Caenorhabditis elegans: one gene and its partners. The protein of the gene in region 1 interacts with the protein of each later gene in a biochemical or structural test. Each region holds a gene or a part of one and is shown in the gene's direction. Other genes may lie near its edges.

The links.
Region 2: the proteins of tnc-2 (region 1) and unc-27 interact in far-western blotting, tested with the Caenorhabditis elegans proteins (2 studies listed by BioGRID).
Region 3: the proteins of tnc-2 (region 1) and tni-4 interact in far-western blotting, tested with the Caenorhabditis elegans proteins (2 studies listed by BioGRID).
Region 4: the proteins of tnc-2 (region 1) and tni-1 interact in far-western blotting, tested with the Caenorhabditis elegans proteins (2 studies listed by BioGRID).

What each region holds. Positions count from the first base shown.
Region 1 is NC_003280.10:10,465,209-10,470,405, forward strand, and holds tnc-2 (Troponin C), read left to right. Parts: upstream 1-1,643; 5' UTR 1,644-1,728; coding exon 1,729-1,731; intron 1,732-1,808; coding exon 1,809-1,922; intron 1,923-2,024; coding exon 2,025-2,106; intron 2,107-2,155; coding exon 2,156-2,277; intron 2,278-2,737; coding exon 2,738-2,899; 3' UTR 2,900-3,142; downstream 3,143-5,197. Other genes in the region: sdz-37 (SKN-1 Dependent Zygotic transcript), read left to right, coding at 1-90; clec-143 (VWFA domain-containing protein), read right to left, coding at 3,143-3,238, 3,339-3,440, 3,491-3,603, 3,664-3,855, 4,085-4,284, 4,332-4,430, 4,496-4,713, 4,817-4,959 and 1 more.
Region 2 is NC_003284.9:8,786,518-8,791,688, forward strand, and holds unc-27 (Troponin I 2), read left to right. Parts: upstream 1-2,938; coding exon 2,939-3,088; intron 3,089-3,139; coding exon 3,140-3,411; intron 3,412-3,491; coding exon 3,492-3,633; intron 3,634-3,688; coding exon 3,689-3,818; intron 3,819-3,865; coding exon 3,866-3,900; 3' UTR 3,901-4,104; downstream 4,105-5,171. Other genes in the region: ZK721.3 (G_PROTEIN_RECEP_F1_2 domain-containing protein), read left to right, coding at 159-282.
Region 3 is NC_003282.8:5,202,261-5,208,740, forward strand, and holds tni-4 (Troponin I 4), read left to right. Parts: upstream 1-2,330; 5' UTR 2,331-2,346; coding exon 2,347-2,370; exon of another isoform or gene 2,371-2,391; intron 2,392-2,654; exon of another isoform or gene 2,655-2,675; intron 2,676-2,742; exon of another isoform or gene 2,743-2,763; intron 2,764-3,313; exon of another isoform or gene 3,314-3,334; intron 3,335-3,346; coding exon 3,347-3,587; intron 3,588-3,694; exon of another isoform or gene 3,695-3,716; intron 3,717-3,890; coding exon 3,891-4,035; intron 4,036-4,080; exon of another isoform or gene 4,081-4,101; intron 4,102-4,469; coding exon 4,470-4,644; 3' UTR 4,645-4,864; downstream 4,865-6,480. Other genes in the region: Y59E9AL.36 (RRM domain-containing protein), read right to left, coding at 5,012-5,470, 5,624-6,147, 6,318-6,480. UniProt on the Caenorhabditis elegans protein: Troponin I is the inhibitory subunit of troponin, the thin filament regulatory complex which confers calcium-sensitivity to muscle actomyosin ATPase activity.
Region 4 is NC_003284.9:11,374,427-11,379,903, reverse strand, and holds tni-1 (Troponin I 1), read left to right. Parts: upstream 1-2,433; 5' UTR 2,434-2,442; coding exon 2,443-2,502; intron 2,503-2,548; coding exon 2,549-2,674; intron 2,675-2,718; coding exon 2,719-2,845; intron 2,846-2,891; coding exon 2,892-3,036; intron 3,037-3,119; coding exon 3,120-3,267; intron 3,268-3,596; coding exon 3,597-3,743; 3' UTR 3,744-4,017; downstream 4,018-5,477. Other genes in the region: F42E11.3 (Brp/Blh family beta-carotene 15,15'-monooxygenase), read left to right, coding at 4,295-4,394, 4,438-4,571, 4,616-4,785, 4,832-4,910, 4,959-5,105, 5,159-5,305. UniProt on the Caenorhabditis elegans protein: Troponin I is the inhibitory subunit of troponin, the thin filament regulatory complex which confers calcium-sensitivity to muscle actomyosin ATPase activity.

The sequences.
Region 1 (5,197 bases):
GCTCAATCTCCAGTGAAACTCGTTGCCAATCCATTCTACAATCCAGAACTTGTCAAGGAAATCAAGAAGAAATCCCGTGTTTCAGTTTAATATTATTAATTATTTTTATTTATTTTTCCTCAAACAGTTTAGTCGGTTTTTCTGATATCCAGGTTCGGTTTTTATAATTGTACTTTTTCTTGGAAATGATTACAAAATTTCTGTCCGGTATTTTTTCTGTATTGGTTTTCTCAATTTTTAACAACTGTACTTTTACTCAATTGTTTTAATAAATTAATCAGACTAATTAAAAGTTGTTTTTCACTTCAAACGACCACGCTTTCAATACTAATTGAATACAATACATTTCTGAATAAAATTTTTTTGCTAGTTCCACCATCGAAAATTCCAATTACTCCAATTACTTTAAGCTAGTATTTTGTAGCACATTCGTTTTTTTCAAAATTTTCAGATGATTGATTGATTTATTTAACATAACTAATGCAATTTACAACTGTACAATTGAATTTTGAGTGTTAAATAAAACGGTAAAACGAGACTAACCCAGAAAGAGTACGTCTCGAGTTTGGGACGGGAAAGGAGAGAGAGGGTAATGTGGTAGAAGAGATCAGTTAGAAGTCAAAGAGAACCAGCGGATAAAAGTTAATACCGGGGAATATTGAGATCGAGAAAACTTGAAAACTGATAGGGGGAGAGAAATACCGGTATATTTTTGACAAGATTGTTCCAAATAGGAATGGATTTGGCAAAGAAATGAGAGGTGCATGTGTCTTTCCTAACCAGAATCATGGGTCTCCTATTGGAATTAGAGAACTTGACAAACTGAGTTAATTTAGAGAAATGAGTAGAACCGGTAAGAAGTCTATATAATAGTTTCATTTGAGCTTTAATTCTAGTGTGTCTGGTGGAGAATAGTTCCATGATGCACAGTCTGTTTTCGTAAGAGGTGAATTTAACGTTGCACCTTTGCAGGACGCGGTTGGTGAAGGTCCTAAGCGGTTTTTCAAGTATGGCAGAGAGTGAGGAGTTGGGGGAAGGGGAGTAGATCTCAGAGCAATAGTTTATGATGGGGGCAACGTATGTTTTAAATAAGTGGCTATAAGTTAAATAAGTGGCTATAAGTAAATAAGTGGCTATAATTAAATAAGTGGCTATAATTAAATAAGTGGCTATATAATTAAATAAGTGGCTATAATTTAAAAGTTGTTTTTCACTTCAAACGACCACGCTTTCAATACTAATTGAATACAATACATTTCTGAATAAAATTTTTTTGCTAGTTCCACCATCGAAAATTTCCAATTACTCCAATTACTTTAAGCTAGTATTTTGTAGCACATTCGTTTTTTTCAAAATTTTCAGATGATAAACTGCCCAATACTATTGGAAGTTTCTATAGTAGTAACACATTGACTTACTCTTTCCCCGAATACTTCAAAAATGCCTTCAACTGTACCCACCAATGCTCTATCAGTTTACCTATCTCCGAGCCCCCGAGTTCTACTTCTATCCGGCTGTATCCCTGCACAGTGCCTTTTTATGTCTACATCTCACACATTTTAACAGTCTGTCTCCAATATCCAAACACATCCCCCGCCGACGCATTGTGTGCTCTCGTTAGAGCTCCTCCCGCGCTGTAAGCCACTTGAGCAGTTTGTGGATTTTCCCTCTCTTTTCGCATTTTGTCGAAGAAACTTTTCCTCGTGTCGATCAGGTCAATCATCAATCATGGTAAGAGTTTTGTTTTATTGGTAATTTGTAGCTAATTATGTCTATAAATAAATCTGTGAATATGTGCAATTTTGTAGGGAGACGTCGTTGCTGATGCTTTGGAAAAGCTTTCTGCCGATCAGATCGAGCAATTCCGTAAATACTTTAACATGTTCGATAAAGAGGGAAAAGGATATATTCGTGCTACCCAGGTTTGTGGAGTTTTAATTTTGTAGCAAATTGCTGTTCAAATTGGAATTTCTTGAATTTTTCTTAAAATACTCCCAAGAAATTGTTAAACTCTGAAATTCCAGGTCGGACAAATCCTCCGTACCATGGGACAAGCCTTCGAAGAGCGTGACTTGAAACAGCTCATCAAGGAGTTCGATGCTGATGGTATACTTCCCCCACCGGCCATAAATCTACAGTACCAATCCTTTTTCAGGTTCCGGAGAGATTGAGTTCGAAGAGTTCGCCGCTATGGTTGCCAACTTTGTTGTCAACAATGAGAACGACGAAGGACTCGAGGAGGAGCTTCGCGAGGCTTTCCGTCTTTACGACAAAGAAGTATGTTTATTTGCAATTTTGGTTTCTAATATTTTTAGGGAAAATGAAAGGAGAGAAGTAAATCTTGAGAAAAATATGAAAAAAGTCAATACTTTTGTCCTATGTATTTCTTCTATTTGAAATTATGTGAATTCTGAAATTCTTTTTGAAAACTTTGTTTGTTGTAAACTAATAATTTGTTGAATTCTTGAGCATGACCTTTTTTCACGTTGTCAGCTTATATCTCGGTTTTCATTAGTTTAATCAAAAATTGTCAACTGGCAAAGTATGTACAAAATATTTCTCCAAATTCTGATAGTAATTTTTCAAAAATAGAACTAAAGACAACCAAGATAGTAGCCATCAAAGTTGAGTGATGGTTCAAGAGAAAAAATACGGTATGTCATCAATATTTCTTTTACAGTCTGAACCATTGAAATTGAAGAAAATATAATTTTAAAGCCTAAATTTTAACTTTCAGGGAAACGGATATATCAACGTCTCAGATCTTCGTGACATTCTCCGTGCTCTTGACGATAATGTTTCAGAGGAAGAGCTCGACGAAATGATTGCTGAAATTGATGCTGACGGTTCCGGAACTGTCGATTTCGATGAGTTCATGGAAATGATGTCTGGAGAATAATTTTAATTTTTATCCTACCAATGATTTCTGACGGCGCCTTACCATTCACTGACTTCCAATAATTCTTTTTGTAAAAAACAACAAATCTTACATTTTCATGCTTTCAATTTATTTGATAAAAGTTGATAAAAAAAATAAAAGAAATCTCAAAAAAATATTGTAAAAAAATTCCCATGTAGTCGACCCTTTTGATGTTAGAACAAGTAATGATTAAGAATAAAATTTATAAAATAAAATTGATCATCAATTTTCCAAATACGTAGTGTAGTATTCTGTGCTGCTTGCTTGAACTTGACAGATGAAGAGCCAATCATTGGTCTGAGGTGGAGCCCAGAAGAACTGTAACAAGATTTAAGGAAAATATTGAAGTACCGTATCAACGATATAAAAATTCATTTGTTGAAAGATATTGCAAAATTCATGTTGCAAAACGACTTACATCAGTAGATCCCTCCTGCAATGGTTGTGTCGAAATAACTTGGTTCGTAGAATTTGCTTGTGGAAATCCTGGAGCCCACTTTGAATAGATCAGTGGATTAAGCTGAAACACACAATATTTTTCAAACACAAATAACAAAATCTATAAAGTACCGGAATCATGTCCTGGCCTTGAGGCTGCTCCCAGAGCCACTGATTTCCCAAGTTACGTAATCCAATGTAGTATTCCAATGGCTTGTACTTGGGGAACGAAATTGCCATGAGAACTGGAAATTAATTTATAGGTAATTTTGCTGAAATGCTTAGTTTTTGAAGTTTAATCTCACTTTGCATAAAATCGTGTTTGGCCTGACTGAACTCATTTGCTAAGTGAGCATTTTTAACTTCACTGGCACAATAATCGATGGCATGTTGGTAACCGTAACTTCCGCCAGTTGCAGTAAATCCTCGAAGACAAACTCCGTATTGAGTTCCGTTGCCAGTAAACTGAACCCAGTTTTCTGGGCAGAAGCAGTTGACTGAAATAGTTGTTGTTTGAATTCGTACTCAACTATAATTTGACTAATGTGATAAATTACCCAGGTATGTTACATCCAACCAACGATTACAATCTTTGGTTCTCTATGAATGTTGAATGCATATTAATTCCAATTAGATAGTTTCAAGAGATTTCTAATGATATGATGCCACAGACATAATAGTCATTATGCATTTTTCAGTTAGTTAACGTAAAAATATATAACGTACTGCTCAATAGCGCCGTTGTCAACTGTTTAACCAATTTAGAAGTATTCATCTCATCCACTAAACTGAATTGAGGACTAGAAATCTGTGCTAATCCATCCAATGCTGCTTGATTCGTTGTGCACGCTACCGTAATGATAATAGTATTGTCATATTTCATGCGTCTAGCAATTGGGAATGCATCATTAGAGGTTCCTGATCCTCTGAAATTTAACTTTTTAGTAATGTTACATCATTCTTTCCAGCTTACTGATAATCAGCTGCAAAAACTATAACAACTTTCAGAAAGTTGAACCGATATGTGCGGCTACGCCCATTCTTGAGTGCTTGCTCAGCCGCCAGAAGTCCTCTGAAAGTTGGTGAGTTTTGAAACTTGTGCGAGTTACTTTTTTTTTAATGAAGATCTCAACTCACTTGCTCAAATACGACGAATTTGTAGAATCGACGTTGTTCAATGATCCTTGAACCACATTGTACAAATCAGTGAAACTGTGTGGTCCGTCCAATTGAGCGTTTGTGGTAGCATCGGAATCATACGTCACAACTCCAACACATGTACTACGAGGATCCGCTGGGTATTTAGTTGGACCGATTCGAGATGAGCCAAATAATTGAGTAATGGTATTTCTGACCTAAAAACATTGTTTGTTAATTTGGACATTTGGGAAATAATTTAAGATTTTTTTAAACTTTCAAATTAAAGAAAAACTTTGATTTTTAAAAATTACAACTAACCTGCCAGAGCTGTGCATTTGTCATCAGTTGAGACTTATCAACAACTACAACTACGTCCAACCACAAGTTTTTGATATCTCCCTGGCATACCCGGTCAGCATAGACTGCTGCTGAGTTCTGTAGAACCGGTGAACATAGTGTACCTAAAAAAAATATTTAAATTCATGTCTGGTTAACTGTCGAAACCTCACCTACAACTGCCAACGTTAAAAATATGACGAGTGTACTCATTTTTTGATCAACTTCAACTTTTCGACATTTTCGATAGCATTTAAACTTTCTTAAATACCCATTTCTTGTTTCTAGATTGCTTGTCATCATCACTTGCTCCTCGCTATTATCATCTTTTTTGAAAAGTGATAAGAACACAAATGGAAATAC
Region 2 (5,171 bases), on another chromosome or scaffold:
GTAAGCACGTTTATGAAAAAAAAAGTCGTACTAATATATTACCAGTTTTTGATGCTTGATTGTTTGTATTTGCTGTGTATATAAAACGTGTTTGTAGAACAGTGTTGAATTTTTCACTGGTTTATTTCCATTATCCTCTGGGCAATTTTCAGTTTCAGATCTTATTCATCCAACTCAAATGTTTTTCGCAGCAGTGCAACAAACTACAATTGCGACACGGGGCTTCTTTTGGATAACGAAATTGACACAGATGCTGAAGAAGAAGAAATTGCCTATCTCTGATCCTTGATCTTAATTCATTTCTCACTTCTTCCGAATTCATGCTGCCTTAACTTTTTTAACAACTGACTGATCACGTCAGTTGTTGTTTGTCATGTTCAATTCTCCTAATTGTGCACGCTGTCTGCCATTGAATTGTAATTGGTGAGAGGCAGATGGGAACTTATAACGAGTGAAATAGTATCTCAAAATTATGGTAAAACGATAAACATAGACAATGTACAATTTCAGTTTGGGTATTAACAAAATTGAATCTCTATTTTTTTTTTAAATTTGATATCAATATTAATTTACATCAAATCTCATATCTCATGCTTACATTGTTAACCTTTTGCTATCCATTTTTCACAATAACATTTTCATCTGGTTTTAAAGATTTTGCAATAAATCTCTTTTGTAAATTTCACAAAGCAGCTTAAATTGTAAACAATAAAAATATTTTGATATCCTGCTTTTAAGTGATCAAACGTACATTAATATTACTTTTTGAACGAGGAGTTGTCGATACGTATTGAGTGAGCGTATTGTTTATACAAACTTTTTTTGAAGTTTTGACAACAAACCGATATAAATTTTTTTAATCATACTGTCACTAACCAAGAACGTATAAATGCGCTCTTGATAATAATAAAGATCCGAAATGAGTAAAATAGCACTCGCACATTTTTCCTTCTCTCACTTATACTTGTCCAAAATAACCAAATGTCATAATTTAACACTCCTAGGATTTTTGAATTTCTAAAAAATTTTAATGCGAAGCTGTGGTGAATTTTGTTTACGGAAAGTTTGAGTTTTTAGGATAATTTCGAGAATTTGTGCAAGCTCCAACACCTACTTCCAATACATACAACTGAACAGGGATTATGTGATCAAGTTCCAATATTACTTTATTTATACCCAATTTAGCTCATTATTAGTTATACCTCACTGAGGACACTACTTCTAATGAAAATTATTCCTTGATAGCAATCAAGAAATAATTTTCTAAAAGTAAAAAATTGTAAGCTGTAAAAGTTCGGTAGTGCCAATTAATTTACCCATATGACAACCGCTCATGTATAATAATATTTCGTAACACTTGTGCCCCCACTACTGCTCAACGTTTTTAACCAAAACATCATCATCGCCTCCATCAGCTATTTTTCTGTATCTTCTTCCGATGTTTCTCTTTCTCTATATACTCGTTGCAATGAACAATGTATCAAAAGAAAGATAGAGCTTGCCGCATCAGAAGAAAACAGTGTAAACTATTCGGAGATTGGCAGAAAAGCGTGATAACACAGTTGAAAACAATTCAAGATAAGAATGTGAATGTTTATGGAAAAAAGTGTTAAAAATAAACAGGACAATAGATCGGTTTAATCCATCACTACTCCATAAACTAAAATGGGTGTGAAAATAGTTACAGGGAATTGGAATTTATTTACAAGTTTCGGGTTGTTATTTACCATTGTTGGAAAATGTAGATTTTTCTCGTTGTGATCTGATTTTTGAATGTGTGATTTTTTTAATGATTTAGATTCACTTATTTTATAGTCTTGTCAAAAATAACTACTTTATGATAACAACTGATAAATTCAATTTGAAAGTAATAATATTCAACTTTTTGTGATAACTAATGATGATTTGCATACCCAATTTCATTATCCCCGCTATCTTTTTTCTTTATCACTTATCACAAATCTCAAACATCTGCCCACACCTCGCAACACTTTCAACTCATGGTCCCTAACATATTGAATTTCAAGAGAGTCTCACCGGCCACCGTGACTATTTTTATTGTATTTTTCCACACGTCACACTTGTCAGCTTGTCAATTTTTTTTTAGGTTTTTTTGTTTTCTGACCTACTCAAATCCTACGTGACAGCATGAAATTATGGAACTGAAAGAGAAATGGTTGAAAACAAAACACTGTGAAAAAATAAATAAAATTATTCTTGATTCTGATGAAAAATGTCATGTTCCAATTCACTTTTGAAACAATTTATCCAACAAATATTTACAGATCTCACTAGCGAGCCATGTCACAACTACAAAAAAGCAATCGAATTGATGAACTCAGTGACACCGTTGAAAAATCAGTATGTTATTTTAAAAATTGTTTAGGTATTTTTAGTAGTACGATTTTGATTTTTGATCACATATCTTCTTTTTGAAAATACAGAAAAACTACAGACTAGCTTCATAAATTGTTCGGAGCCCCATTCACCGAATAGCTCATAACTTGACCCACTGCCCCATCTGAAACCAATATCTTCTTGCCGCGTTCCGTTGGTTTTTTCCACTGAAGTTGCCACAGCTCTATCCCTATCTCTCGCTTGTCTTCAATCAATCTCGGCCAACGCAATTGGTAGGCAAGAATCATTACAACAAGCGGGAGACGTGTTGGAAAGAGCATCTGTCTGTATGGCATTGTCCGAGAGACCCAAAGATACAGAATTGGAGGGCGGGCGGTTTGTGGGGCGGCTGTTGCCAACTCTAGGTACCTCTCACGAGTTGCGACATCTATTGGCAGGATACTTCAGATTTCAATTCACAAGGCCTTCGGATGCATGATCAGGCTCGCCGCTAATTTGTTTTATGCTCATTCAAAAATTATTCATTTTGTGAATTTAATCTTCTGTTTTGTGATACTTGTACCCCAAACTAAAATTTCAGATGAGTGAAGAAGCCGGAGAGGACGCCCAGCGCAAAGCTGCCGAGCGCGAGGCCAAGAAGGCCGAGGTGCGCAAGCGTCTCGAAGAGGCCGGAAACAAGAAGAAGGCCAAGAAGGGATTCTTGACACCAGAGCGTAAGAAGAAGCTTCGTGTAAGTTGTGTTTTTGGAACACTTAAATGTTTAACTTATTTTTGATTTCAGAAGCTTTTGATGGTCAAGGCCGCCGAGGATCTTAAGAGACAACAATTGCTTAAGGAGCAAGAAAGACAAAAGGCTCTTGCTGACAGAACCATCTCACTTCCAAATGTTGACTCCATTGATGATAAGGGACAACTCGAGAAGATCTACAATGACCTCTGGGCTCGTCTTACCCAGCTCGAGGAGGAGAAGTACGACATCAACTACGTCGTCTCCCAGACTGAGGCTGAGATCAACTCCCTCACTATTGAGGTCAACGATCTTCGTGGAAAGTTGTGAGTTTTTATCAGTTTTTGATGAATTTCCCATATATGTAAAATCATCCAAAGTATTGATTTTACTTTTTATTTTTCAGCGTCAAGCCTTCACTCAAGAAGGTGTCGAAGTACGACAACAAGTTCAAGAAGAGCGGTGAGAGCAAGGCCGGAACCAAGGAAGACTTCCGTGCCAACCTCAAGATTGTCAAGAAGGACGTTATGGAGGCCATCGTCAATGTTGTAAGTTTTATCTGCAATGTTCGAGAATTTTGATAAACAAATATTTCAATTTCAGAAGAAGAAGGACGACAAGCCAGATTGGTCCAAGAAGAACAAGGATGCCAAGGCCGAAGACTCCGCTCCAGCTGCCGTTGCTCCAGAAGCTGAGCCAGTTGCAGAGGAAGCCGAGGCTGAGCCAGAAGCCGGTTTGTCAAAAATGATTTAGATTTTCTCGATAACTGAAAACTTGCAGAGGAAGAGGAAGGAGAGGAGGAGGAGGAGGAGTAAACTCCTAAATCCATCACTTCAATCCTGCTCAACATCATCCAAATCGACGTCATCAAACCGAACAACCCCCCTCCCCAAAAAAAAATATGCCAACATCAATATTCTGTAGTTTGTAAAATACTTTTTTACCATTTTATTCTTCCTTCGATGGGTCCCGGAAATTTAAATGTCAACAACGTGTGTGCTAATAAAATCTTGGTGGTCAGACTTGTGTGTTTGAATCCTTGAAGAAATATGAGAAGGAAGTGTGAAGTGTAGTAGGGAGTGTCTGGTTAAAAGTGATAAGTGAAGGAGAACGTGGGAGGAAAACATGAGAGGATCACTCTCCTGGGCTCTAAGAATAGTGCGAATAATTTTGGGACGCTTTGACAAACTCATTTGTCAGATAACGTTTCAAAAAGTATTTCAAATATTTTTGACACAATTTTGAAACACTCACAACATTCAACACCACAGACGCCAAAAAAACTGTTCTTGCAATTTCAAAATTTCGATCAAGTTTCCATCTGTTGAAAATTGATACATGAAAATATCTCTTTTAATTGTGCAGAACTTAATCAGCAATATTCATATTCACAGTTTAGCTGTTATGATACAATGCTGCAGTAAATTTGAAGATTATCGTGATCTATGGAGAAAATCAAGGGAAGTTGATAGCTTGGAAAAGCAAACAGGAGAGCACATTTCAATGAAAAGTCAATAGTTTTCCAAAAGTACTGTACTAGTATATTACTGAGTCTAATAAACAAAAAAAAACTGGTATCAGACAAGTTTTTCCTATCAGTTTTCAAAGATTAATTCAAATCTAATTGGGGAACATTTTTAAGATTATTTAAATGGCAAAGTTTAAATGTTTTCATTAAACATACTTGATAAGTGTTAATGATCGTTCGGAAAGGTTTTTTTTGAACAAAACCGGTTGCCATGTGTGCTACGTGTGAAAGTTATGTTTCATCATTGTTCCTCACGCGTTGTCATCAGCAAAGATCTGCACCGTACAGGTAAATATTAAGACCACATGATTCATTTTCAGTACTGTTCAAATTTTTGAAACAGTTTTAGTGCATCGTATGAGCCTGTGATTTCCCAAAAGAAATTTTGAATAAAATTTACCAAAAGTTAGGGATTAATTGTTAATGTATAATGTTATATAACAGTTTTAGACGTCATTTCTGACGTCATTTCAGCAAAAAAAAAATTTTTAATGTATTGGAGTTCTAGAGAATTGAAATAAAAACAAGTATTTATTCATTTTTTTAAAAGTAGAACAA
Region 3 (6,480 bases), on another chromosome or scaffold:
TTGAAGAAAAATTTCTATGTGAAAAAATATTAGGGCTTTGAAACATTACTGAGACACTTAATTTTGTTTTTGTAATTTTACTGTTTTACGTTTGCCATTTACTACCAAAGCTATTCGTCAGATAGTTGGTCGTCGATCAGGCAAAGTTAGAACTAGCAAGTTTTGGAACTGCAATAATCTTAAGTTTTGAGGTTCCACCAACGACTGGTTACAAGTTATTTTTTGCAAACGATGACTTTATTGTGGGTCCAAAAGAGTATTTCACAATTTTCCGATGTTATCGTATCCCGGTAATACGATGAATATGACTTATAGGTTCACTTGAAAATGCAACATTTCACCCCTCCTTTTTAACAAAAAAGATTGTCTCTAAAGAAACCCGCATGATGATGAGTACTTTGTTCCACCCCCACCTTCATAAAGCTCTTCTCTCCCATCATAGTAGCATATAGACGCAGAGAAAATAGCCGGATTTCTGTAGCTTTAAAATGGGAAAAGAGAGAGATAGTAATCAAACAAGCTCGCGCACAAAATGACAACTCTTGAGAAGTTTTCCCTTTCTCTCTTTCTATCCCCCAAACCCTATGATTATATCAGACAAAACGTGGGCTATCTTGCGCTACGAGATAGAGGCAAAAGTGCGTGGTAGGCAGAAGGCAGGTGGAGCCATTTGAAAAATGAAAAATATGTTACCGTGGGAACATATACCAACAATTACGGTTTCATCAAGGCGATATAAGTGTTTAAATCTTTCAGCGAAACTTCATTAAAACTTTCCGGACAATCATCTGCTACCCAGTTTTGAATTTTCTTATTAAAATACGGTGCCCAGTCTTACTGAAGTTCCCAAATTATGGAATTTTTTACAAGTCAAGGTTTAAAAATCGAAGAAAAATTGGCAACGACAGGGGTGGGGTCTATAGTACTATTTAAACGCGCAAATTTTTTGAATTCAACAAAATTTGCAATTGTATTTATTAAACATAATCGTATATTTTTTTGATTACTGTGAACAGTGAGAACTGCAAAAAAAATGTATTTGAAACCTTTGGACAACTTATCATATTTTTTACGGAAACTTGTACCTTCAAGTCGTGTTGTAACAAAAAATATTTTTGAGCCTCAAATCATATTTGATTTCAAACTAGTTTCTAATAGTAAGATAAAACTTGTTAGAGAAACTGAATTTATTTTCCGGTATTTTTTTTATTTTCATCATAATTTTAAATCTCCTACAGCAGTTAATGACTTATTGAAGCATTAATTAAAACGAGTACCAAAATTGATTGCCTTCAATTAAAAAAGTAGCAATCTGAAAGCTACAAAGCTCACATGTGAAGCTTTCTATGTTGTCAAAAATTCAGCAGCTGATTGGCGGTAGGCACAGTCATAAGGCAGGCAGGCAGATATTTTTCTGCCTACGTGGAATCAACTGAACATACATTTTACTGGTATAAAAATAACAGGCGATTTCCAATCATGATTCACAGTTCCCATTTTAAGCTTGTTGTTGTCCTGATAGAATTTAAATAATTTACTGTTTCTTCGATAAAATAATAGGAAATTTTTTAAAGCAAGTTAATTTATCATAGTAACGAAGTTATCATTTTGAAATGCTAAAAATTTAGTTTCTTTCAGTAGAAATATTGTCTTGATACTTTTTTTGGTCTGAAAATTTACTTTTCAGTGTCAGGCTTTTTCAGCAAAAACTAGAAGTTTTTCTAGGAACCTTGGAAATTCAAATTTTTTACTATTAGTTTTCAGTTTTAAACAAGCTTATGATTATTATACCCATAAGAAAATAATCATTTGCCTTTAAAAATGTTTCAGTTCTCATAAAATTATCTACTTCTATTCAAGAACCAAAGCAGCAACCATTTTTAATATAATTTTTTCTCACTTCAACTCCAATCCCTTCCATTTTTTTTTCCAACAATTCCCTTGACTGCAACAGACTGAGGATATTCTCAAGCACCCGCTTCTTCCCGTGATGCTCTAAATCTCTCAATAATCCATACTATTTCCATGTTACTGTAACTGAAGAGGAGGTGGTGGGAGGCGCCGGGATCCCCCTTTCGCAAATATCTTCCTCTCGTCTCTTCATTTTCCGTGCTATTTCGAAAACACACTTACCAGGCAATCGGGAAAAGCCGAGCCAATTCAGTTTCTCCGAGCAAATTTCTTGGCATTTTCGCCGTGTCCCCCACACTTTTTCGTTATCTTTTCTTTGTCTCAACCCAACTTTTACCGTTTCACAGCAATCAATGATTCATCTCGTAGATCTTGTTCTGATTGGGATCTTCTTTAAATTACGTATTAAATTATTTCAGGTGATAACCAATAACCATGAGTGACGTTGACGCTGATGAGGTGAGTCGTGGTTTTATTTCATTGCAAAGATAAAAATTGATTTGAATTTGTAAAACACATGAAACAGTAATTTTGTAAACTTTTTGGTAAACCAAAAAAAGTTTCCAGCCTTATCCCCCACATATGGATGCAGAAGTAAGTCTAGACAGTTGAAAATTTTAAGTACAGATTTGGTTTTTTTGTTGGAAATGGTTTTTATTGAGTTATTTTATATTTTTTCTTGAAATCTGAAAGAAAATTTGAGATAGTTTTTACTTGTAAAAATGAAAATATTTCCAGTGTTTTTGGGATAAACCCTTCAATAAACATGAAACTGTTTTAATTCATAAATTAACAACAATCTGAAACTGTAACAGTTTTTGAAATAGAAATGAATTAGTGGGAAACAATGCATTCGTTTACTATAATGTGACTGTAATTTGTGGGCTCGTTGAAACAATATATATATATATATATATATATTTATTCGACTAGTTTGAAAATTGTGAGCTTTGGTATAAAAAATTAGTAAAATTTAAAAAAAACGTGTTTGTGAACAAGCAAGATCTTACTAAGACCTTACTTACTAAGACGAAGCGATTGCTTTGGCGCGACTGTATATGTTCATATTATTTATATAAAAACATAGTGTTTATAGTTAGAAACATTTTTGGTTATAGTTTTTTTGAAACAGTAACTTTAAAATAAATAAAAAATTGTTCACCTTTTTGATGTATAGTGATTGTAAATGATTCATATACTTGTTGAAACTGTTTATAATGTCTTTTACTTAGTTGAAAAGCGAATTACATAAAAGCTGCCGTTACAAGACCCCATAAAGATTTTAAATACTCAGTAAGTATATTTTTAATATTAAGGATTTTTTGTTCTGCAAAATATTTTTGGTTCACCCTTGTCATGTTTCGTCTTCAGTTCAAATATTGAGTTACCGTAACCGCCATATTCCCATTTCCGTACCTCAAATTCACATTTCTAGGCGCGCAAAATGGCGGAGCGCGAGCGCAAGAAGGAAGAGGTGCGTAAGCGTCTCGAGGAGGCCTCAAGAATGAAGAAAGCCAAGAAAGGATTCTTGACACCTGAGAGAAAGAAGAAGCTTCGTAAGCTTTTGATGATGAAGGCCGCCGAAGATTTGAAGCAACAACAAATGTTGAAAGAGCAAGAGAGACAACGTATTCTTCAAGAAAGAATCATTCCACTTCCAGATTTGGATAACGAAGGTAAGTGTTCTGAAGATGAAAACAACTATTTTATGCTACTTTTGGATATCAGTAAAATGCAATTATGTATGAAAATATAGAACAAAACACTTAATTTAGTAATTAAAGAACATTTTGCTAGGATGTCAATACCTCTCCAAAATACGTTTGGTTAAATAGAAAATACGAAACAGTAAAATTTTTAAATAAAAACTTGAATTTTTTAAATCTAATAGACTACTTTAAAAAGTGTTAAAACTCTGTAAAAACTTCATAATTCCGGGCGGTTACCTACATGAGTTTTATCTTTATTAAATTTTCCAGATGACCTCGAGGCAGTCTACGATGAAATCCGCGAGAGACTCATCGATCTTGAGTCTGAAAACTATGACGTCAGCTACATCGTTCGTCAAAAGGATTTCGAGATCAACGAGTTGACCATTGCTGTCAACGATCTTCGCGGAAAATTGTTCGTTTTTTATATTTTTTGAGTTTTTGGGGGTATTCATTTTAACCACATAATTATTGGATGGCACTGAGAAAATACTTTTCGCCATTTTTGATATTACTATCTTGAAACGGGAAATTTTTTCAAATGGAAATAGGAAAATTAATTACGAAAATGACACCAAATCAAAAAATATTGATATTGTAGAAAATTTTGAGAACTGTTAGCTTCACCAATTTCGGGTCCTGACACGAACGCAAACTTTTCAGCTACAGTACACGGGAGTATACAGTTCATTTTTAGCTTCATAGAGCGAATGTTCATATGATACCCAGATGCGAAAATTTACAATTTTTAACGCAAAATACATATCAATCCCGGTCTCGACAGGACCGAATGTTGAAACGGCAAAAAATTAAAGTTTCATCCAAAAAATAAAAATTTAAAATTTCCAGCGTGAAGCCAACCCTGAAGAAGGTGTCCAAGACCGAGGGAAAATTCGACAAGCTTAAGAAGAAGGAAGCCACCAAAGTCGATTTCCGTGCTCAACTCAAGGTTGTCGACAAGAACGAATTCGCACTCGATGAGGAAGACACTGAGAAGAAGGAGAAAGCCGCGTGGGCTAAGTAATTTCCAATAAAATCATTGAAAATTTCGGATAACTGGCACCCCCTGGAAACGTCTCGTCAAATTCAACTCGATCAATCCCTTCCCATCCTAAAAAATTCTCCTTCTTTATAAAAATTTCACCTTCGCATATCCATCGCCCTATCCATTTGCTTTCTTGTTCCTGTATTTTTTGTCTAAAAATTGTGCTCTGAAACAACAAGAATAAATCAAAAAACAATATATTATACAAAAAAATCGGGATGAATAGTTCATAAAAATTGATTGATGTAGATCTAGAGATTGAACCGTGGTTTTTTTCTTGAAATTTTAACAGGGAAATGGCATGTGTGGGGATTTTACAATAATTATTAGAAAATACATTTTTAAATTAAAACTCCATATCGGGAACTTCAATAGCTTGATCTTCTCTCATTCGTTCTTGTTCCAGCCTGATCAACTCTTGCCATTGTCGCTTCATTTCCAGATACTTTTTCAACGAAAAAACTTGAATCGTCTCGAAAAATCTTCGAACCTGGCCTCCTGGAATGTACTTGGCAAGTTTTCGGCACATTTTCTTCCTCTTCCTCCGCCGATTCTTCTTCTTCTTGACAAGTTCTGGTTTCTCAATACCTTCCTCCTTTTTTGTTGGCGGTTTTTTCTTCTTCGGTTTTTCTTTTTTCGACTTTTTCTTCCTCTTGTTTCGTGATCGCTCAATATTGATGTGGTATGGAATTGGATTTTGTAGACTTTCGGAAGTCGAAGGGGCTTCGTCTTCAGGTGAAGTTGGAGGAGGAGCACGACCAGTTGAGCATGATGGGATAGAAGTCGACGGGGAGAATGCAGATTCCTGGAAATAGTTAGTTTAAGAATTATTTTCCCTTTTAATTAATGTATTTTTTAATTGTGGAGTAGCGTCGGTGGTTTTTGTTGCTCTAAATAACAGAAAATAGTTTGAAAATACCGAATTTAACTGTTAAAAAATTCATAGAAGGTTTCGTACAATTTGAGTTTTCAGATTTTTCCTGATCCTCTTCCTCGGTTGAATGGCTCCTGATTTTCGGAGACACGCAAATTCTCGACGTTTCAGCTCAGCAAACCTTCTTTCCAACTTTCTCAATCTCATATACATTGGCCACGGCCTCCGCTTTCGTCGCATTTTTAAAAACCGAATTTCTCTTAATAACTTTGTCATGTAAAGTTCGACGAATGGCCTGAGTCGCGGCGGAAATTCCTGGGGCACAACTGGCGGTTCCAGATCGTCGATTTCTCCAGGGCTCAGAATATCTGGAATTTCTTCTTCTTCGTTTTCCTCCTGTCGACGAACTAATTCCGCTTCTTTTTTACGTTTTTCGTGTTTTTGATATTTTATGGATGGATCGTTAACAATAAAATCCCGAACCATTGCAGCAGCTGAATCAGAATCAACAAATCTAACAAATCCGAAAGCTTTTGGACGAGAGCCAACGTTTATGAGAGGTTTCTTTTTTGGAGGTGTTCGATGAGCCTGGCGATTTGTGGAGACACCTGAAGTTAATATATTGAGAAAGATTTTTTTAATACATGTTTTTTTTAAAAGAAAATAACTAATAAAAATATATTCTACTTTTATAATCTAATGCCTGCAATACATTTTCTGTATTCGAGAAAGTTTCTTATTCAGAAAATAACTCAAAAAAAACCTATTTTCTCCGTACCTGATGTTCTTTTCTTGAAATTTTGCTTCGGACGAATCCACCGTCCTCCTTTTTTCGAAATTCGAACCTCCACAACAGTTCCATAACAACTACATAATCTGAGCAATTTCTCTTCGGAGCAGCCTTCAGGAAGATTATCCACATAAACTGTCGCAGCTTCTCT
Region 4 (5,477 bases), on another chromosome or scaffold:
GTAAAACTTTTACACGTTTTTAATGAATTCAAATGAATTGTTCATTGATTCAATATTCTTCTCACATATCAACAGTTTTTATTTTCACCTCCCAGTTTTTTCAAATTTAATAGACATAGATAAAAAGTTCGGCCTTTTTCTATCTGTGTTTTCCATTGACACATTTGATCAGGAAGCTAATACAACATATGGGTGGGTGGGCAGAGAGGTCCGCCACGTTTTATTTTTGCTGTTACTGCGTCGAATTGAAGGGCACATCAAAATGAGTATTACAACACGATCCACGGAGCTTAGCGTTGCTCTTCTCGAAACAAATGATCAGAGGAGTAGAAGACACAACGCGATTCCAGGAGAGCACTGAAATCCCATCAAAACGTTGCCCGAGCTCTGATGTCTTTAATGTCCAGCTCCAGGCCGCCACACATTGTACTATTCGGCGAGCCAGCCAACTGACACCAGCCGTGTGTCCTGTCTTTTGCTCTCCTGCCACCTCCTCCAGTTTTTTGATGCTACTTCAATACATTCTGTCTGATCGCAGCCAAGCACTCGCAAATCAAATCTCAGCAACCCCCGCAATGCGACGGCACATCGAAAGCTATTCCCATTCTTCATTCCAGAATCTTCTTATTTCTTTTTCTTCCCCTTTCCTTCTTCTTCGTCATCTTATGCTTCTTCTTTCTATCCCTTTTCCCATTTATGTCTTCTAGTTCAACTCATTTCGTTTTCAGCCCATTCAACTGTGCTTCTTCTGCATATTTTAATTTCAAAACTTACTTTCAGAGTTTTGTTTCTTTTCCATTACAAAAACTCGAGACTTGTCTGGAATGAGAATCAAATCATATACTTTTTAATAAATATATTTTTGCTCACTCAATCTATGATGAAAAAAGAAACTACTTCAACCAAAACTGAGTATTCAGTATTCTCTCCCCTTTTCCTGCCTCTAGCTACATAATAAGACCTTCATTAAATTTTTATTTGTGCTCACTTCTCGTTTTGAAGTCTTTCTATTCACTCACATCAGTCGTCGTTTTTCACGCACTACTACTTCAAATTTGTATGTTTTGAGCAACGTAAAATTGTTTCTACCACCAATTCTTAGATCCGAAAATTTCATTTTTAGTATTATAATTTGATTACTATTCGCTGTCAGATTCATGACCGAGGCTAACAAAACACGCAATGAAACGCCTTTCAAGAAAGCCATTACACGATAATTACCGCTTAAGCTGTCAGTTTCGGAAGCCCTCGCGAAAAAATGGTGTATGCTCATTTTGTTCTCAGAGCTTCTGCAGAGCACTTCACTCACTTCGAATTTTCCTTTCAACTACAATTATTGTCCTTCTATCCACCACCTTTCCTTGCTTCCTAACAACATCCGCTCAACTAACAACTCTCACCTTCACGTTTTTGGTTTCAAAAACTAAAACACTCGCACTGAATCAGTTGGTGATGGCCATTCCACCATAAATTCATTGTTTAATTTTAACTTCCCCTATAGCTTCCATTACCTTTTTTCACCTAACATGTCTTTGCGCTTCTAACTTCGAAAATCTTATGTTTTCCGATATTATTTTCTCCCTCTGTTCACTTCGCTCGCACTTGCACTGTCCCAATTTAAACATCACCACTCGCACATAACCACGTTAAAAATTGTAATGTTTGTTATTTGTAAAATTTTGCAGATTGAAATTTTCAGAATGTATTTAAAATTTCAAAGTACTGCGATAGGCGTACAGGTTATTGTAATATACTCCTACAGTGGTTCGAACAATACATTACAACTAAACTGACAAAGTGTTTATTGGAGCACCAAAATTGGTTCATTACCAACAATAACAATTTTGAAACCATGTCTGAAATATATGACGATCATGTACCTAATGTGTTTTTTTTCTGAAAAACAGTCATAAATTTGGTAATCAATTGCTCCAGAATCTCTTGGCTGAATACAAGGTAACCAACACAATGTTGTCGTACTTCTTCACTTCTTACATCAACCTGCCAAAGTGAGCGCATGCATTTCAGTCATTTTTTATCTTTTTAATATACACTTACTTTCAAATTTTTGACTAGAAAGTTAGTTGGATCTGCACTAATGTTTCAATCGCTTAATAACACACCCATCACTAAGTCTTCCTTTATTTATTTTTTTTTCGAACAACATTCACTGAGCTGATAAAAATACCGTTTGTGTGCGTATCGTTCCAGCAAACCTCACACCCAAACACTTTAGACTCATTCCGTTTCATGGTTTTGCCTCTTCTATCAATCTGTTTTCAATTTGAATCCCCTTTCTCACGTTTACACACACCCTTGAATACCTTCACACCCACCGTACCTCTAACGCTTTCCACCAATTGCTTGGCACATCCCATAGTAGTCGTAACCTTTGTTTTCTGTAAATGTGCTTCTAATCAATTTGCATTTAAGGACTTGAAAATGAGCCAAATTGATGAGAACATTCGCTACGGCGGAGCTGCCAACGAAACCGATGGCGAGGTAAACAAAACAAAGTCATTTGTGTTTTTGAAACGATATTGTTCAGGATGCCCAACGAAAAGCCCAAGAACGCGAAGCCAAAAAGGCCGAGGTGCGCAAGCGCCTTGAAGAAGCAGGACAAAAGAAACAGAAGAAAGGATTTTTGACTCCAGAAAGAAAGAAGAAGCTCCGCGTAAGAGAACATTTGACTTTCAACACTTACAGATTCATTTTCAGAAGCTTCTTATGAACAAGGCTGCTGAGGATCTTAAGACACAGCAATTGCGGAAGGAACAAGAAAGAGTCAAGGTCCTTGCTGAAAGAACCGTTGCTCTTCCAAATGTTGACAGCATTGATGATCACGGTTCGTTCAGTGCTTTAGGCAACAAACAAAATTGTGTATATTTCAGCTAAGCTCGAGGCTATCTACAATGATTTGTTCTCCCGCCTCTGCAACTTGGAGGAAGAGAAATATGATATCAACCACATCACCACAGAGACTGAAACTACAATTAATCAACTCAACATTGAGGTTAACGATCTTCGTGGAAAATTGTATGTCTTTAAATAAACCCAGCAGTGCTAGTGTGTTTTCACCTGCTCCAATTCCGCATGACATGAGAAAAAACTATTTTCAGCGTAAAACCATCATTGAAGAAGGTGTCCAAGTATGACAACAAGTTCAAGAAGATGGCTGAAGCCAAGAAGGAAGATGGAAGCAAGAACTTGAGAAATAATCTCAAGACAGTAAAGAAAGAGAGCGTCTTCACTCAAATTGCCAACAAGGTAAGTTTGTAATAAGTTTAACTGGAATATAAAACTAGTTTTTACTTGAACTGTCAAGAAAAACATGTTAACAAAAAGTAGCCTGCCAGAAAAATTTCTAGAACACATATTTTGTGTTCACAATATTGAAAACTGGCTGAAACAATACATCAATATAGAACATTAAATACAATGTTTAAAATTGACATTTAGAATCCAAAAAACTCAAAATAATAAATTATATCAATTTGTAGTACTCAGAAACATATACTTATTTTATCAACATAACTTTAAAAATTGTTTTCAAATTGATATTTGATGAATTGAATTTACAATAATCCACATTTCAGAAGAAATCTGACAAGCCAGAATGGTCCAAGAAGAAGGAAGAGAAGAAGGAAGAAAGCGCCCCAGAACCAGTTATTGAGCCAGTTGAGGAAGAAGAAACTGCTGCTTCTGAGGGAGAAGAAGAAGAAGAAGAAGCCGACGAGGAATAAATACCGGCATTGTTGTCATTATCTTGTTCACTGAATCTAACTAATCATTCTCGCGTATAATACATTTCATCAATTCAATTTATGTGCCTTTTGAGTTTGAGTATTCTTAAAATTTTGTGCATGTAAAAGGTATTTGGCCCTTTTTTATAAATCTTCATTTGTTTTGTTCTGCCGTTATACTGTTTCAAAATTTCCAGTATACATTCTTTGTATTCTTTCAGTAATATTCCATCTTATTCTTTTCTGCATATTCGCAATAAATGAAGTTATCACCAACCCGGAATTACAGAGCAAAACTCGAAAGCAGCACAGAAAGGCATTTCTATTTGTGTGAATTATCCTAACGATTTTCAGCTGTCAAACTAACAAATGTAAATGAAACAGGGAATAAGGCAAAAACACCTGGAAACGCAAATCGCCGCCTTCTCCGACGTCACCAAGTGTAACCGGGTTGAGACGAAATAAAAGGAGCTCGATAAGCCATTTTGATTCTGAGTTAAACTCGAGATTGGTTTAATATGGAAAGAGTTCAATTTTCATCCTACGATGAAATGCTCCACTACAACTCACGAGTTGCGAATCAATTCCCAGGAGTTGATTTGAACGTTTTTCGGAAGATTCACTATCTGGAACTTCTGTCACAAATGTTTGGTATGTTAGTTCACAATTTTTTTAATACATTTATAGTTTTTAGGATTCCTATTTTACACTTTCTACCTGATAATTTTTCTGGTTCACGGAAAAACATTCTTCATCTCCGAGCACACATTCAAAGCGATCTTCATTATTCAAATGATCACTTTCGGCGCGGCACTGGTCATTCAGAAGGTATTCAATTTTAGTTTTAAAACTGTAGCATCACACAATTTCAGTTTTCCTTTATGGTCAACTCGGTAGAATATGTTACGTACTCAACATTTCCATTTATTCCAAAGTTTGTGATCTCCATTTGTGATCGGCTAGTAACGGCTCAAATGCCTTTGTATTGGTTTGTTGTCAGTGCTTTTCTCATAATTCAAATTGCCCAATTCGCTAATCAAAAGTATGTGTTTCTGTCAAAACAACATTCTAATAAATACATTTTTCAGTCCACGCGGAATTAAACTGGCACATACCTACTTGATACCTTACGGAATAATCATTACCCTCATTTCCTTCATTACCCCGGTAATATTTTCAAGAGAAGCTCAGAAACTAGGAAATCGTTGTTTTCAGGATCATATGAAACTTTTTATGATCGTCGTCTGCTTTCTAATCTGGTGGATTTATCGAAAGCATATGATTGCCCAGTTGTACAGCCAAGACATGACCGCCCGCGACGTTTTGAATATGCGCCGGATGAACATCTGGCTGTCCAGTCAGGTGAGTCTCATTAAAACTCAATGTGTTATATCAATAAATTGGATTTATTACAGATTTTCGGGACACTGATCTTCCATCTGCTCGACTTAGGAATGATGCTGGCTATCAAGTCGTCTGTGACTGACACTGGAAGACAAACCTATTACGGATTCTATAAGAATGAAGTAACAAACCATTCAACAAACGATAAAAATCAATGAATAAATTTTAGGTGTTTAAAGTGGTCACGTGGATTGCCACGTATGCAAATGCATTCATTTTTGCCTGGTCAACAATCAATTTCATCAAAACCGACGCTTCTAAGGAGCCGACCACACTTCCAGTTTTTGTTAATGGTTCGCTTCCAATGGATTCACTCTCGCGTCGCCCGTC